Alligator mississippiensis: one gene and its partner. The protein of the gene in region 1 purifies or fractionates together with the protein of each later gene. This does not show direct contact. Links are inferred from orthologs where the notes say so. Each region holds a gene or a part of one and is shown on either strand. Other genes may lie near its edges.

Region 1 (7,012 bases):
GATTCTAAAAATACGTAAGATGTTTCATAGTTCACAACAAAAATGAGTGCATTAAGTGTTTTATGTCGTGTATTATTTGGATTTTCTGCTTTTTCTACTAACCTATACCTGGTTTTCTTTAACACAAATTACAGTGGATACATTATTTTTTGGTTTGTTTTAAACTAAAACTAAACACTGAGATAACAACCCCTTGCATGCATCTTGGACTGATTTCTTTTGGAATACAGTGATTCAGTGACCAAAACAGCCAAAGGTGAAAAACAGTTTTGAATATATCGTGACCCTGTCTGACAGGGTATTTTCAGATTCTGTCAAAATAAACAAATAAATAGCAATAGAACGTCTCTTAACCCTTAGTTGTAAATGTAGCAAGGGCTACTTCCCGCCACAGAGGCTGCTGCAGCAGGCCACAGGTAATGTTTTACCTGAGAAATATTAAACTGCTGAAACAGCCATGTCTTCTCCTTTTTCTATTTGTAATTAAACATTTGTTGACCTTTCCCCCAGCCCCGACTTAGAATCATAGACTCATAAGGCTGGAAGGGACTGCAAAGGATCATCTGAGAACTCAGGTCAGTATGTCTGCCCCATTTTCATTAAGGAAATGGGTGCAGAATAATACTGTAGAGCAAGCCTGATGCACACTAATGAATCCTTTCCCCTCCCCATCCCCAGCTTTCTTAAACCTTGTGGAAAACTGACAACTAATTTGTCCTTGTGGCAGTGACTTAGAGATGATCATAATGAGATTACATTACTATTGAATCCCCAGGCCTTGATGGTGGGATTGCACGTACTAGCACAGAAAGTGCTTCCAAAATGCTGAAAGATGTTTTAATAATGAGTTTAGTAAAATGTTAGTTTCTTTACAGCTGATTTGTATGATTATTTTTTTGGACCCTGCTACTTACTGGAACTGAACACTCAATGCCTGCAGCTCTAAACCCAGAGCTTCCTAATTGCCTTGTATGTGCATTTATTTTTCTTCAGGTATTAGAAAAGGATAATTAGGCAAAGGAGAGATGTGCTCAGTGTTCTCAGTAGGGCAGTACAATTTAGTCTATTTTAAATTGATTCTTTCTGCCACAGTACAGAACGCTAGCCCATACATTCTTGGCACGCACACACGCAACCCCCCCCTCCCCCCACATATCTTCTGAAAGAAATGTTTTATTATGTCCTTTTTTAATCTAGAAGGAGAGATGGGAATTGTTATTACTAAGTAAGTGAATGGTCCTACTAAGGTTGTAGCTAGGCTCTTGTGAAGACTTTATAATCACAAATTCTTAAACACTGACATGGCAGAAAAAGTCTTAATTGCTGATGTTGCTGCAGACTTCTAAGTTTTTGTCCAGCATTTTTTCTTAGCCAGCTAGTACATTACTGCAAACATTCCGCTATTTATTGAGTTTTCAGCTGGAGTTTAGGTTTATTCCACAGATGGCAGACCTAAAGGATGTTTGCATTTGTACAAAATAGAGGTATCAACCTCTCGTCAGGTTCTCCAAGGACAGTTGAAATGGACTTCCATAAATATATAAGTGAAATCCTCTTGTGGCCTTTGTCACTCCTATTCCACATCTCCCAGTCTCTGAGGGGGTGGAGGGAACCTCTTTTTTTCCATCATCTCTGCTTGGCTGCAGTTGTAAGGGGGGGGGGGTGTGCGCGTGTGGGTGTGTGTGTGTGTGTGTCCATGCATAGGCAGGTGCTAAAACAAAAAACGTATTTCTAGAAATACAGCATGAAAGCAGAAGGCGCAACTACACTGTGTTCTGGTGCATTTACACATTTTATCACACTAAATAAAATACAACTTGGCTGCTATGGTTTTATTTCAGTAATCCCCAACTTTTTAAAACTACTTTTTGAACTGGTAACGGTCTCGTTAATCTGTTTGAGTTGTTTGTGTTAATGCAAATACTTCTAATCATCTTGGAGTAAAAACACTTCATTTTCTTAATGATTGCGGGGGGGGGGAGAGGTCAAGGAAACCAGTTTGAAGCAAAAATATATGAACATGTGCCATTGTATTATAACACTATCCACTTTCTTGACAGTAAAAATTCTTTTAATTTTTTTGTAGCATGTAATGTATATGTTCATAGTATGTGAAGTAAATAAAAAAAAATAGCCAAAAAAATGGCTTGGTGTCCTTGTAGAGAAAGTGTTTTTTGGAAGATTTCCATTTGTTTACCAATGATAATATAAAGACTACTTTGCAATGATAAAATATTGTCTGCAGTACCAGTTTTTGCACTGGCAAATTGCTCACCTATAAGAAGCTACTGAAAGCAACATTTGCATAAGATTAAGCTTAACTGATGAGAAATAACATTTAGGCTTTTGAAAACAAAGTGCTTTGTTTAAAACTAAACAAAACACTAACTCCTATTTACTGAAAAATGCCAAAGCTTTTCTTTTGCGGAGCAAATAAAATCACACTTCATATTAGCTCATAATAGTTTTGTAAGTTTTGATGTCTCTTGCAATCCTTTTAAGGTGTTAACAGAGTAATATTTGACCATGAGTATAGCTCGCCATATTCATTCCTCTTAGGTTTTCATAGTTATAGAACAGTTAAATATATGTTTTTGGCAGTTTGGGGGGGGGGGGAGACCTGTCTGACTACTACTGCGCTGTATCTGGAGTTACCTTGCTGTGGCTGGGCATCTTTGGCTATTGCAGTTCTCACAGGTTTCATAGTTTCATAGTTGGTCGGGTCGGCAGGGACCTTGACAGATCATCAAGTCTGACCCCCTGCCATGGCAGGAAAGAGCACTGGGGTCAAACGACCCCAGCAAGGTGTTCATCCAGCCTCCTCTTAAAAAGCCCCAGGGTAGGAGCCAGCACCACCTCTCTTGCTCAAGAGCAGTTATAATAATAGTTGATACGTTCACTTCCAGGATTATGGGATGAACACTCTCACCAGACACCTTCATTCATTAGAACATGCCAGCAAGGAAGCAAGCAGTAGTAGTCGTGTTAAATTCATTTTTAGGTATCAGAAGTTGAAGTTTAGAAGATGGAGATCGTTTCTCAGCTAAATTTGGGTTGAGTCTGTACGCAGGCCAACGTGCATTGGCACTCCCAGGGATGGGAGAGGCGGCGTGGGGGCGTGTTTTTAAATGAAAGCTTAATACGTACTATCATCCCTTGCCACAAGGCGATGGTCTGGTACAAAGTGAGACTAGAACTCAGGGGGAAGTTGCCCCGTGTTAGAGCTATTTATCGCTGCGGCCATCCTGGTCGTGGCTGTGCTTGGCCCCGGGGCGGAGAGCCGGAGCTTGCCGCTCTCCGCCAACCAGCGCGTAACAGCCCGGCCCCGCCAGCGAGCGCGCGCTGCCCCGGGCTGGCCGAGGAGAGGGCCTGCGGCGTCCCCGACGGCTCCTCCCTGCCCGGCCGCCGCCGCCCCGAGCACCTGACGGTCCTCACGCGGGGCTTCCGCCACCAGCGCGGCTGCGAAGCCTCATCTCGGGGTGGGTTTCCGCGCTGGGGGGCCCCGAGTGTGATGAGCACTGGTTTGAAACGATGAGAGCAGGCTCCCGAGCGGGGAGACCCTGCTCCCCCGGGCCCTTGCTCGCCAAAACGCCACGAGTCAAAGCATTCTTAGTTAACAGAACATGTCTATGTAAAAGCAAAAGGCCGCTAACGAGCGAGGCCCGAGGCGGAGCGGCGCTCTCCGCAGCGCGGCAGGGATCCCCGGGCTGCGGGGACGCCGGGGCCGGCTGCGCTGCCTCGTGCTCGTCCCTCGTGTCGGGGCCGCGGACCGGAGCGCCAGGGCGTAGCCCCGCGGGCTGCGGACAAAGCCGCCGCCGGCCTCGGCCTCGGCGCCCGACCCCGCCCGCCGCCGCCGCCTTCCCCCCCGGCCGCAGGAAGGCGCGGCCCGGCCGGCCCGGCGGTTGCTAGGGTGCCGCCGTTGCCAGGGGAGCAGCGCGCATGCGCACGCGGGCGGAAGTGCCCGGATGCAGCGGGAGGAGGCGCTGCCGCCATCTTTGCCCGGAGAGCAGTGAGCTGGTAGCTGCCGAGCCTCGCGGACTCATCGGCCTCCATCCGCCCCGCGCAGTCCCCGACGCCGCCCCGCCTGCTGGACATGGACGATCGGGAGGACCTCGTGTACCAGGCCAAGCTGGCCGAGCAGGCCGAGCGCTACGATGGTGAGGGCCGGCCTGGCGGGGCGGGGCGGGCGAGCGGCGGAGCGGAGGGAGCGGCCACAAAATGGCGGCGGCTGGGCAGGGGGCCGAGGCGGCGGCCGGGGGCCTACAAAATGGCGGCAGGAGCCCCCGGGGCTGCCGGGCGCCGCGGAGAAAATGGCGGCTGGGAAGGCGAGTCCTGGGAAGAGAAGGGAAGGGGAAGCGAGCCGAGCCGCCCCCGCCCGAGGGCCCACAAAGCCCGGCCGTGTTGCGCCGGGCCCGGCTTGTGACGCGGCGGGGAAGGTTCCGGCGGGCCTGGTCGGCTTGATGCCTGGCGCGCCCTGAGGCTCCGGGGCCGGTCTCGGCCGTGTCCTCCCCTCCTCTTCCCCCCCGCCTCCACCCGGGCCGGCGCCGCGCTGCTCCGCTGCCAGCTGCTGGCGCGGCCCCGCCGGGCCTTCACCGCCCGGGCGCTGGGCACATAACGGGCACTTCTTCCTGTAGGAGGCCGCTGCAAATGCTCGGGAAATGCGCTCCTCTCGTGTTCGCAATGGTCCGGGGTCACTGCGTTGTGCAGCATCTTCCCAGCCTGCCCTCGTCCTGCTGGTGAAGGTTCCTGGGCTGCGCCAGGTTCATTGCCAATCGCAAGACGTGAGGAATGGGAAATGATCCTAAATACTTGTAAGGTGCCTGTCACCACCTATTTCCAATCGTGGAGGCTATACTTCAGGAATACCACTTGGATCACATGCTTTGTGGGGAGGGATTAAAAAACCTGCTTGTCACTCTTACCCTAGTGCAGTGGTTTCTCAGCCTTGTGAGACTGGAGGCGTCAGTCCCTTTGAAGATGCCAGCTGCTAGTTTTCACTTTTTCTTTTTTGTACTGTAGGAAAATACTAGAGCAGTTTTTCTGTTGCAAAGAGCTCAGAACCCCGGTAGCACGTTGGAGTGTTTTATCACCTACGTTCCTGTGTGAAATGCTAGCTTTCCTTTGTGACACAGTTGCATGCCTAAGAGGGCCAACATTGTGGCGCCTTGGAAACCTGTGGAGGGAGGCACCCCGGTGCTGTTGCGTCCTGGCTGAGACCCAGTCCTCTGGCGGATGTAAACTTCTGGCTTTGGAGCTGGATCTTTCATATGGCATCGCGAAGATAAAAACTTAATCAAGGGTTGTGACTAATAACGGATTAGATGTGTATCTGTACAGTCCACGTGAGGTTCTTTCTCCCTGCTGTGTGGTCAGGGACATGAGGTGGCTGCTTCTCATACCTTTCCCAAGTATCAGAACGAAAAATGACCAATATTCCCTACCCCGGTTTGCAATGCGAGGAAGATAATAAAAATGACAAGAACTAGGTTATGGGTCATCCCAGTTGTTGCTAAAGGGAATTATCAGTGGCATATGCTAGCACTAGAAAAGTATTCACAAAATGGAGCCAGAGACAGCGGTTAATACAGGAGACTTTCTTCCTGAGAGGATAGCCACAAGCCTGGAAGAAATGGTAGAGTAATTCATAACTTAAATATTTCTCATTTTTATTAGCTGAGGAAGGTTCTAAAATGTATTGGGTACCAGGCTGTTCAGAGGCTGTTATGGGATCTAGTTAGCACTAGAAAAAGTTGTCCAGTGTGCAGTGTAGATGTAGTGTGGAGTGCCTGGTGAAAGTTGACTGTAATTGCAACTGTGCCTGCAATAAGACTTCTGCTGGCATAGCTACATCTGTTGGGGGGGGGGGGGGTCTTTTTTGGTTTGTTTTGTTCCCATGACCCCATCTGGCACAGTTACGACCTAAGTGGGAGACCCATGAGCTGCTTTGCTTGTGTACAGTACTGTTAAGGAGGCTTTGAGGCAGGGTTGTGCTTCTCTTTGGAATTTTCTTAATACAAGCTGCATCTCATTCCTGCTAATGCCCAGTGCTTTTTTTTTTCTTCTAAACACTGATATAGGCATCTTCTCTGCATAACAATTAACCCTTCCCAATAATTAAGCTATTGATTGTAGGGTCACCCTAGGGTGCTACCTACCACTCTCTGCCCATCATTTAAGAATGAGCATTTAAAAAAGCAAAACCAGATTTGTTCAAGTGGTGAAAGCATATGAAATGTGCATCACTGTAGCTGTTATTGAGACTTGAGCAAAAAGCAAGCCTTAAAATCAGTATTTCAGAGATCACAGTACTGTTTTCTGGAACATCTTAAGCCAAATTGAACTGGCCTTGGGAAACAAGTTAAAGACCAATCATAGTTAAAACCATAGTTCAGTATCATTGGTCACTTTCCTTTGGCTGTTAAAACAGGAAATGTATGCTTTTAAGTTTTGATTGCCTCTTAATTTTGTATATCTCTCTACATCTGGTTCTTCACTATTTTCAAATGTCAAGTTGCAGTATTTTAGGAAGAAGGATTAGAAACAAGGCTCGTGAACCCCCCCTCCCCCCCATATTTATTTATTTTTATTGCTTGGAGAAAATATTTTTAAGTAAAACTTCTGCCTAATAATGTAACTAGCATTAGTCTTTTAGCTTTGTTCTGTGTTGATCTTGGTGATGTGTTTTGTGAAGTTGTTTCATTTTGGAGGTGGCACTATTAACATAATCATTGGTCTGTGTAATACTTATAAGCAGTAAGACTAATCTAAAGTATAGATAATATGAAACACCATTCTTGCCCACAGCATTAACGCTAACATAATATGTCCAGTTTCAGTGTTTGTAACCATTCTGCCATCATAGCATCTGTTAGTTCTTTCTCTTTGGGCAAATGTTTCTGTGGGTATCCAGGTATCTTAACAGTAGTTAGAGCCTGTTGGGCCTGTGGGGTTTGAAAATCTGATCCTTTGCATTTGGTCGATGGTACAGGTTTCTTGGCACTACTGTAACCTA
Region 2 (7,891 bases), about 41 Mb from region 1:
TCCCCAAAGAGCCATCGGGTGCCTCCGCCTGAGCAAAGTGTGAGCGTGTGTCAGCTGGTTTAGCGGAGGAGAAAAGATGCACATGATCCTCTCTAAGTGCTTTGGCAGGAATCCTCTGGGATCTGCCCAGATGTGAATGCTTGGAGATGGAGCAAAGTGCGTGGGATGGCAGACAGCAGAGAGGTGATCTCCGCCTGTGAAGAGGCTGCCATAGGCTAAAGCCAGGGTGCAAATCTCCAGCACAGCTGCCGCTCTGTTGTCATTGCCTGGGGGGTAGGCTACAGCCAAGCCAGGCAGCTTTCCCACTTTTGCTGAAGGACAGGGTCCCTCACACGTCCTGCTGGGTAAGACTATGCACATGGGAGACTACGGTGGCAGGTCCACACCCTAGCTCCCTGCACGGTACCGTGCTCCCTTCCCCTTCTTTCCTGGAGGAAGGATTAGCCGAGTACATCTGTACTGCTGGAGGCAAGTCTGCAATACAGTGTCAGATGTGCCGCATTGTGAAGGCCTGGAATGAGCCGGCATCTGTTTCTAGCTCTAGCACTCCCTTACTACATGCCAGCCCTCATCCCAGCGAGGGGAGGTGGGCGCTGGTGTCTGCAGTGGAGCACTGCCCCGGGTGTTGCAGTGGGGCTGCTCCGTTTCCCGGGCATCCCCTTTGATCCGCAGGGTGCCGATGCACCGATTGCAGGCGAACGCTGTGGATAAGAGCAGCTCCGGTGAATCCCTAGTGCCCGTGATTAAAATGCTGCTCAGAGCTCAGCAGTCTCTTCTGCAGCTCCCAGAAATGCTCCAGCCCGCCTTCTCTGCAGCCCACGACTAGCATCGCCGGCCTGAAGCCTTGCAGCAAGGAACGGGATTGCTCGAGCAGGGGCCCCATGTTAGGAGCAGGAAAGTTAGCAGATGCTTTGGTAGAATGGGGAATGATGGCCTTTGCAGAGAGGGGGTTGGGGACAGATGTGCCCATCTCCCATGGGAATGTCTCTGCTGCTGTAGAGGTTCCAGCTGCAGCCTAAGCTGTTGGTGCCTGGATTTGCCCCCCAGTAACTTGACAGCATTTCTGTGGCTGCATCTAGTGGAGTAGCTTGTGGCTGCTGTCAGAGAACAGCCTGGCTCACTGGCCTGGTCTGACCTGCTGGCGGCTCTGTGCCTCAGGGCACTGGGATGGAGCAAGATCTCCCCCATGGAGGAGCAGAGCTCACAGTCACTGGCTTCTGCAAAGTGTCACGACATCTGAACCCGACCTATTTTTGCCCAACGACCCTCCCTGCAACAGGCGCGCGTTCAGCAACATCCCCCCATGAAATGTGATGCTTGCACACGTGATTCGGCAGCCCTTCTTCATGAACGCCTGTGGGACGGTGCAGAAAACACAGACTTAGAAACCAGCATGCCTGTGTTTCACTCAGCCATTACATTGGCTTCTTTGAAACATGCCTTCCAGGCACAACCTCAGCAATGCACCGCTCCCTCTCTCGGAGGCCTCTGCTGATACGTGCCAGATTTAGGACCCGCGACCGTCTGACCCTGCTGCCCTCCACAGACCGAGGGACGGTTTGTTGTGGGATGTTGCTGGTGACGGGGGTCCAGCCTCGGTCCACGGCATGGCATCTGGTGCTGTTCCAGCGTGCTGTGTTCCTGACCCACATCCTGATGAGCATCTCACATTTGGAGGAATCTGGCTGCTCTCCCAGGGTGTCTGAACAGCCAGCTAGCTCTAGGAATTTTTCCTCTCCCTTGCAAGCCAGCAAACTCCCTTGTATTTTCCTTGTGTTCCTTGTTTTTTTTTGGAGCATGAGAAATGCTATGGCCCAGTAAGCAGCTGGGGGGATGCAGCTCCTTGGCTTCTGTCTGTGCCACTAATTGGCTCTAGGATTCTTTCCTCTCGCACCGAGGTCCAGCTCTTCCTCCTAAGCTGATTGCTTCTCTTGGCGATTTCTCTGTCTGTCCTCAGCCATGGGCTCACGCTCCTCATTAGATATGGCTTCCCTGCAGTCGCGCTTTGCTTTCTGGTTCTAAACGAATGCAAGGTGCCAAGTTAACAGCACTGGAGAGAGCTTTGGCTATAACTGTAGCTACTATAATAGTAGCGACCGCTACTATGCTAAGATCAAAGCTCCATTTTGCACTTCAACACACTGAGACTGTCTGTGCTCCAAAGAGTTTGCAGTCTCCGGTGGACAAGGAGACAGCGTGTGGGCTGTTATCCCCATTTTGCAGGTCAGGGTGCTGAGGCACACAGAAGCTAAGGGACACACCCAAGGTCATGCAGATCAGGAAGCTGGACCCAGATCTCCTAGTCCCATGTCTCACTCCCCCAGCCTTCTCTTCAAAGCCATCTGTCCTCCCTAGCCAGCAGAAAGCCCTCTGCAGTGTGCCCCAAACCTGAGCAGCAATGGCAGCTGTTCTGATGCTGGGGGCAAAGGGGGAGTCCGGCCTCCCAACTCCATGCAGCCCTTGGGGTGTCTGCTGAGATGTGCAACAAGTTGTGGCTGGAGAAGCCTGCAGAAGAGGAGAGAGCTGGAAGGGGACGTGCCTGCATGTTCCCAGCTGCCCTGGTGTTGGGGTCGGGATGCTGAATCCTTCACACACCCCAAGCCCCACCCAGCACCTATCCACCTTGTTGGGCCATTTGAGCAGAGATGTTCAGGTGACCCAACAACATCGGGGTGAAACAGCCTGGCTGGAGCTCCTCTCTCCCCATTGCTCAGTTCTGTATGCTGTTGCAACGCTGTCCCCTCGCTCGCCTCCCAGGCTCCCAGCAATGGGGCTGTCTCCATCGTGAGACAGAAAGAAAAGGGGTGGAGGGCAAGCCTGCATCCCCTTGGACTTGGGGGTCACCATCCTATCTGCCTCTCCTCCCTTTCCCTCGCTCCTGTGCTCTCCTGCTATGCTGGCTGGTGTCTCAGGTGTTGTACCATGCCCTGCAGAGGTCTGCTGTCAGCATCTCTTTCTCTCACTCCTGGCCCCAACCACATAATTATTTCTGAATCCTTTTGCACAGCCCTGAAATTTTAACCTGAGATTACATTAATTACCGAAATTCTGGTGACAGCCAAGATGGTTGGGGGGGGGAGGGGAATCCACATAGCAGGGTTTATAAGAAATTAATTAGCTGCAAACAGATGAGGTTGGCACCCCCTCGATGCCTGATATTTTCCATGGTTGTCTATTTTTGGAAAGCTGCCTGTGTTAAGCTAAATATAATAGAGTAAATAGTGGGGAAGATGAAGATGATTAAAAGTGCGTAACTCAGCAGAGATGCGGTAGGCAGAGATTTCCTTGCACAAGATGCAGGCAAACCCATTCCAAAGCCAGCAGCGTTGAGGGGAGAGGTAGGCTGGTTTGACAGAGCCATTGAGTTTGCATGCTGTGAGACAGCTTCATCCCTCCAGGCCCCAGTGAAGGTGCCAGGGGAGGGGAGATGGAAGCTACGTGCTGAGGTCCCAAGGGTCCGTTTTTCTCCCTTTGTGGGTTAGAGCAGCCTCAGGGGCTGTCAGCATTTGCCTGCAGCTGCTGATAGCCCCTGCAAGTCCCTGAGGGCCAGTGGAAAGAGCCAGGGTGTGGATGGGCTTCCTTCCCCCCAGGGTGACACCTCTGGGGTGCCTCCTTGCCAGGGGCTCCTGCGAGCAGCAGCAAAGCGCTCTTGAGATCCCTGGGAGAAGGGGCGGCTGCTAGCAGTGAAACCCCTGGGGCAAGCAGGCTGCACCCAGCACCCCATCTCTGGGGAGGGGAGCTCAGAGCCCGGCACTGGATCTGAATTGGACCCATTGCTGACTCCTTTTTCCTCTGCTTGCCTGCACCTCTGAATTGGTATGGCTGTGGACCAGGTGCTCCAGGGGTGTAAATCAGCACCACTCCATTGCAGCGAGGGGAAGCATGTTCCTTTCCACCACCAGCTGGAGTCCCAGCCCTCTGGCAGCTCCAGAGTTCGCCTTTTCCCGCTGGCTGCTCTTTTTACTGTCGGCCAAATTGGACCCCAGAGCCAGAGCCTGTGTGGAGCGGAGCGGTAGGGAATCCCTGCCCAGGTTTGGCCGCTTGGATCTGCCTGGCACGGCAACGACCCACGGTACCGTTATGTGCACCGTGTTGTACTGCTACCATAAGGTGGGTATGCGCATGTGTGTGCGTGCATGCATGTGTGTGCATGTGCACGTGTGTGCGAGCATGTGTATGGACGTGCATGTATGTGAGCATGTGCACGTGTATGTACATGCATGTGTGCAAGCATGTGCATGTATGTGCACGTGTGTATATGCACGTGTGTATATGCATGTATGTGAGCATGTGCACGTGTGTGTATATGCATGTGTACAAGCATGTGCGTGTATGTGCATGTGCGTGTATGTGCACGTGTGTATATGCATGTATGTGAGCATGTGCATGTGTATGTACATGCACGTGCGTGTATGTGCACGTGTGTATGCATGTATGTGAGCATTTGCACGTATATGTACATACGTGTGCAAGCATGTGTGTGCACACATGTATGTACATGCGTGTGTGCACATGTAGGTGTGTGAGCATGCGTGTGTGCACGTGTATATACATGCATGTGTGCGTGCGTATGCTTGCCCAGCTCTGGCAGCAGGCGAGATGAGAGCCCAGACGTGTTCTCCAAGCGAGCAGGAGGGAGTGCGGCTCCAGCCACCCCGAAAGGCAGCCCGTGCCATCCCTGCGCAGCCGGGACAGCCTGTGGGAAGGCGGCAGGGCCCAGCAGGGCTTGCCCAAACCCCTGGATTGGCAGTTGCCCGGCAGGGATGTCAGCTGTGGGGAGGGGCCAGTGTCACACATGAAATACTCCAGCCCTACCAGGAGGATTTCTCTCTCTCTCTCTCTCTCTCTCTCTCTCTCTCTCCTCCCTTTGCTCAGCGCCTCCTGGCTCAGGTTGCTGCAGAAAGAACCTTTCCTTACCTTTCCTGGGATTGAACTTCCGAGGCCCAGCGAGCGCGGGGGGAGAGAGCAGAGGCAGGGACCCAGGGGAGCGAAGGGGGCCTCGGTGGGAGAGAAGGAACCAAAAGGAAAGAAGAAAAGAAAGAAAGAAAAAAGAGTGAGTGAGCGAAAGCGTCTCCTTTCCCGGCCGTGTGAGTACAACTGCCTCTTCCCGGTTGTGGAGTTGCATTTCAGCAACATGGCAATGTAAACAGAGCAAAGGGCCAGCAGGCTGGGGTTGCCTTTAAAGAAGCAGTTCCCCTTTCTTTTTCCCTCTCTCGTGCTTCCCCGCAGAGCCTCCTTGTTCCCCTGGGGCTTGGTTCCTCCTCTGGTGCCGGGGGGCTGGGCTATGGGGGAGGCAGCAGGGGCAGAGTTAGAGCTGAGGGGAAACTGAGGCAAGGCAGCTGGTGTCAAACGGAGCAGGGCGATTTTCCGGTCTCCTTCTCAGAGGGTGGCATTGCCCCGTGCATTGGGGTCGGGGTCAGGGTTGGGGTGGGAGCTTTCTTTTCTGCTGTCTCCCACCGCCCCCTTCTCCCAAACCCCAGGGAGTTTGCTATCCGGGCATCGGCCCGTCTCAGGTGGGGGCCTGTGTGCGAGGAGGAGAGGAGAAAGCCATGGTCTCCAAGGCAAAACTTTTCAGGGCTGCACTTGGGAGGGGAAGAGGCAGTTGTACACAGGTTTGCCGTGTCTGACCTCTGTTCACATGCTCCTCGTGGGGTGGGAGCGCGGTGTCCCATCGCACTTTCTGTGGCTGTCACGGTCCTGTGCATCGCTCGGGCTCTCACACATTCCTAAGTACATGGGAAAATCGCCCCCAGAGTCATCCTCTCCTTCATCACCGGCGGGGTAGGGAACGATACTGATACAGCTGATCTGCACCCAAAACCCTCGCCAGAGATGCTTTCACAAGCCGGCTCTTTTCTGGATGAAAGCAAGCCAGAATGAGCCCTGCAGGCTGCTGGGCTCAATGGTGGCATCAGCGCCGCAAGGGAAGAAATAGCAGTCTCCAGCCTGAGGCTCCAGCATAGGGACGGTTGCACTTTGTGTCTGCCAAATCACTGCTGCAGCATGCGAGAGGTAGAGGAGGAGGGGGCTTGCTTGCCCAGGTGGCAGGGAAAGGGCTAGTGGAAAGGCAATAGGCTCCATTCAAAGCAAGGAGCGGCGCACAGGGGGAAGAACTGATTTCCATCCAGGGAAGCCAGTGGTGCTACTTCAGTGGGGCTGCCGAGCATTTGGGGGAGCGGGGGGGCACAGGGTTTGGAGCAAATGGAGAAACCAACCCAGTGCAAGAGCCTGAGGTCTCCAGGTGCAGCTGTGCTCTGGATGAACAGTGTTGCTTCCTGTTTGTGGGAAACTGAGGCACGGTGAGAGGTCCTTTTGCTCCAGGCCCTTGGCGACAGCATCACAGGCACTCTATAGCCTTCCATCCCATAGGGCTTCGAGATGCTGCCCGGTCCCTCTGCCTGAGGAGATCCCTACATGGAGGCTCACGCAGTACGACAGAGGATGACAGGGTGGAATCAGGCCTCGGGGATTTTCCTAGGAGGAAGTCAGTAAGGCAATGGCACAGAGGGCCGGAAAGTCCCCTCATGCCCAGGGGAGGGACGGTCCGACGGTGGCTGAAGGGCAGGCCTCAGAAGATGCAGGGTCTACCCCTGCCTCTGCTACAGGCTCCCAGCATGGCCTTGGGTGAGTCACTTAATCTCTGTGCTTCAGGGTCTCTATCAGTGAGATGCTGGTAACGCTGGACCTGGCCTTGTGCCGCAAGGCGTGCTTATGGAGAGCGGTGGAGCAGTGGGCGGGTGGCTTGCAAGGCTCCAGGGCATCGCAGCGTTGTTTTCAGTGCTGAAGGCCACTCTTAACTAAACAACCGTGCCTTGCCAGCCCCTTGCATGGATGCCTAAGGCAGGCTTCGCTGGCTTGTGCGTGTCCAGGGATGTGGTTACTGGGTCGCATCTACACCTATTATAGGTGGTGATGATATACAGCCATGCACCCTGCTGGGTATTATATCGTTTCTGAGTGGGGTGTTTTAAACCTTCAGCTAATGCATTCCAAATCCACGGTGTGACTTTTATTATAGTTAGACGCGAGCTGAGATGGGGTTTTCAGGTGGAACCCGTTCTGAATCCACGGCCCCCATGCTGGCTTCTGCGGACAGAGAACACTTTATCTTTCGTTACCCACCCTGAAATACTCCTCTGGCTTCATTGCAAACCCAAGATGCTCCAGCAAGCTGGGGACATCTGTCTGGGGTCTTGCCCAAAGCACAGTTGGCATTCCCTTGGTGCTTTCTATTCAGTAGTAACCCCGGAGAAGGGGAAACAGAGCGGAGAGAGGAACTGACTCACTCCAGGTCATGCAGCTAGGATGGGAACCTAAGGATCTTGACTCCTAGCGCTGCGCTCGTTTTGTCAGGGCATACAGAGCTCAGAAAAGGATCTTTGGAGTGAGTGTCCTTTTGAGTTACTGGTGGATTGAACCCAAAAAGATTTGGCCCCAACTGGCTGACACTGCTTTGACCTGCTTCGGGGCAGCTATTAAGGGCCCAATTTTAAAGAGGTCACTTGGCTGCTTTCAGCAAATGGAATCCATGCGGGGGATCTGCCTGTTGAATTGGCTTTCTTATCCCTTTCCAAACAAACTCGCTGCTGCTGTCTGGAGCCAGGAACAGATAACCAAACACGACCTGTTGTGCAGAGGCCCACATTACAATCCTGCAGGCAGTTCACTCTGCAGAGAAGATCTGTAATCAAAAGCAGTATCCTGCTTGCATTGCTATTCAAGGTGCCTGTTAAGGTAGTTTTTTTCTCTGCAACTAAAGTTGCTCTTCTCTTGCCTGGCCACTCGGCCATCCGACATCCCCGCCTGTACTGCTGGGCAGCCGGTCCCCCTGGAACCGAAATTGTTTTCAGACCACAGAGAAAAGTGACTGAGGGTCCAGAGACAGGCGGCA

Evidence for each region. Proteins that work in one complex are often made in the same cells at the same time.
Region 2: the proteins of YWHAE (region 1) and CDK18 purify together in Homo sapiens (affinity purification with mass spectrometry; 3 studies listed by BioGRID and IntAct, with this or other methods). This does not show direct contact. The link is inferred for Alligator mississippiensis from reciprocal best matches to the Homo sapiens genes YWHAE and CDK18.

Annotation. Positions count from the first base shown.
Region 1 is NC_081837.1:261,265-268,276, reverse strand, and holds the start of YWHAE (14-3-3 protein epsilon), read left to right. Parts: upstream 1-3,975; 5' UTR 3,976-4,093; coding exon 4,094-4,157; intron 4,158-7,012. UniProt on the Homo sapiens protein: Adapter protein implicated in the regulation of a large spectrum of both general and specialized signaling pathways. Binds to a large number of partners, usually by recognition of a phosphoserine or phosphothreonine motif.
Region 2 is NC_081837.1:40,972,395-40,980,285, forward strand, and holds the start of CDK18 (cyclin-dependent kinase 18), read left to right. Parts: upstream 1-4,809; 5' UTR 4,810-5,053; exon of another isoform or gene 5,054-5,087; intron 5,088-7,891. UniProt on the Homo sapiens protein: May play a role in signal transduction cascades in terminally differentiated cells.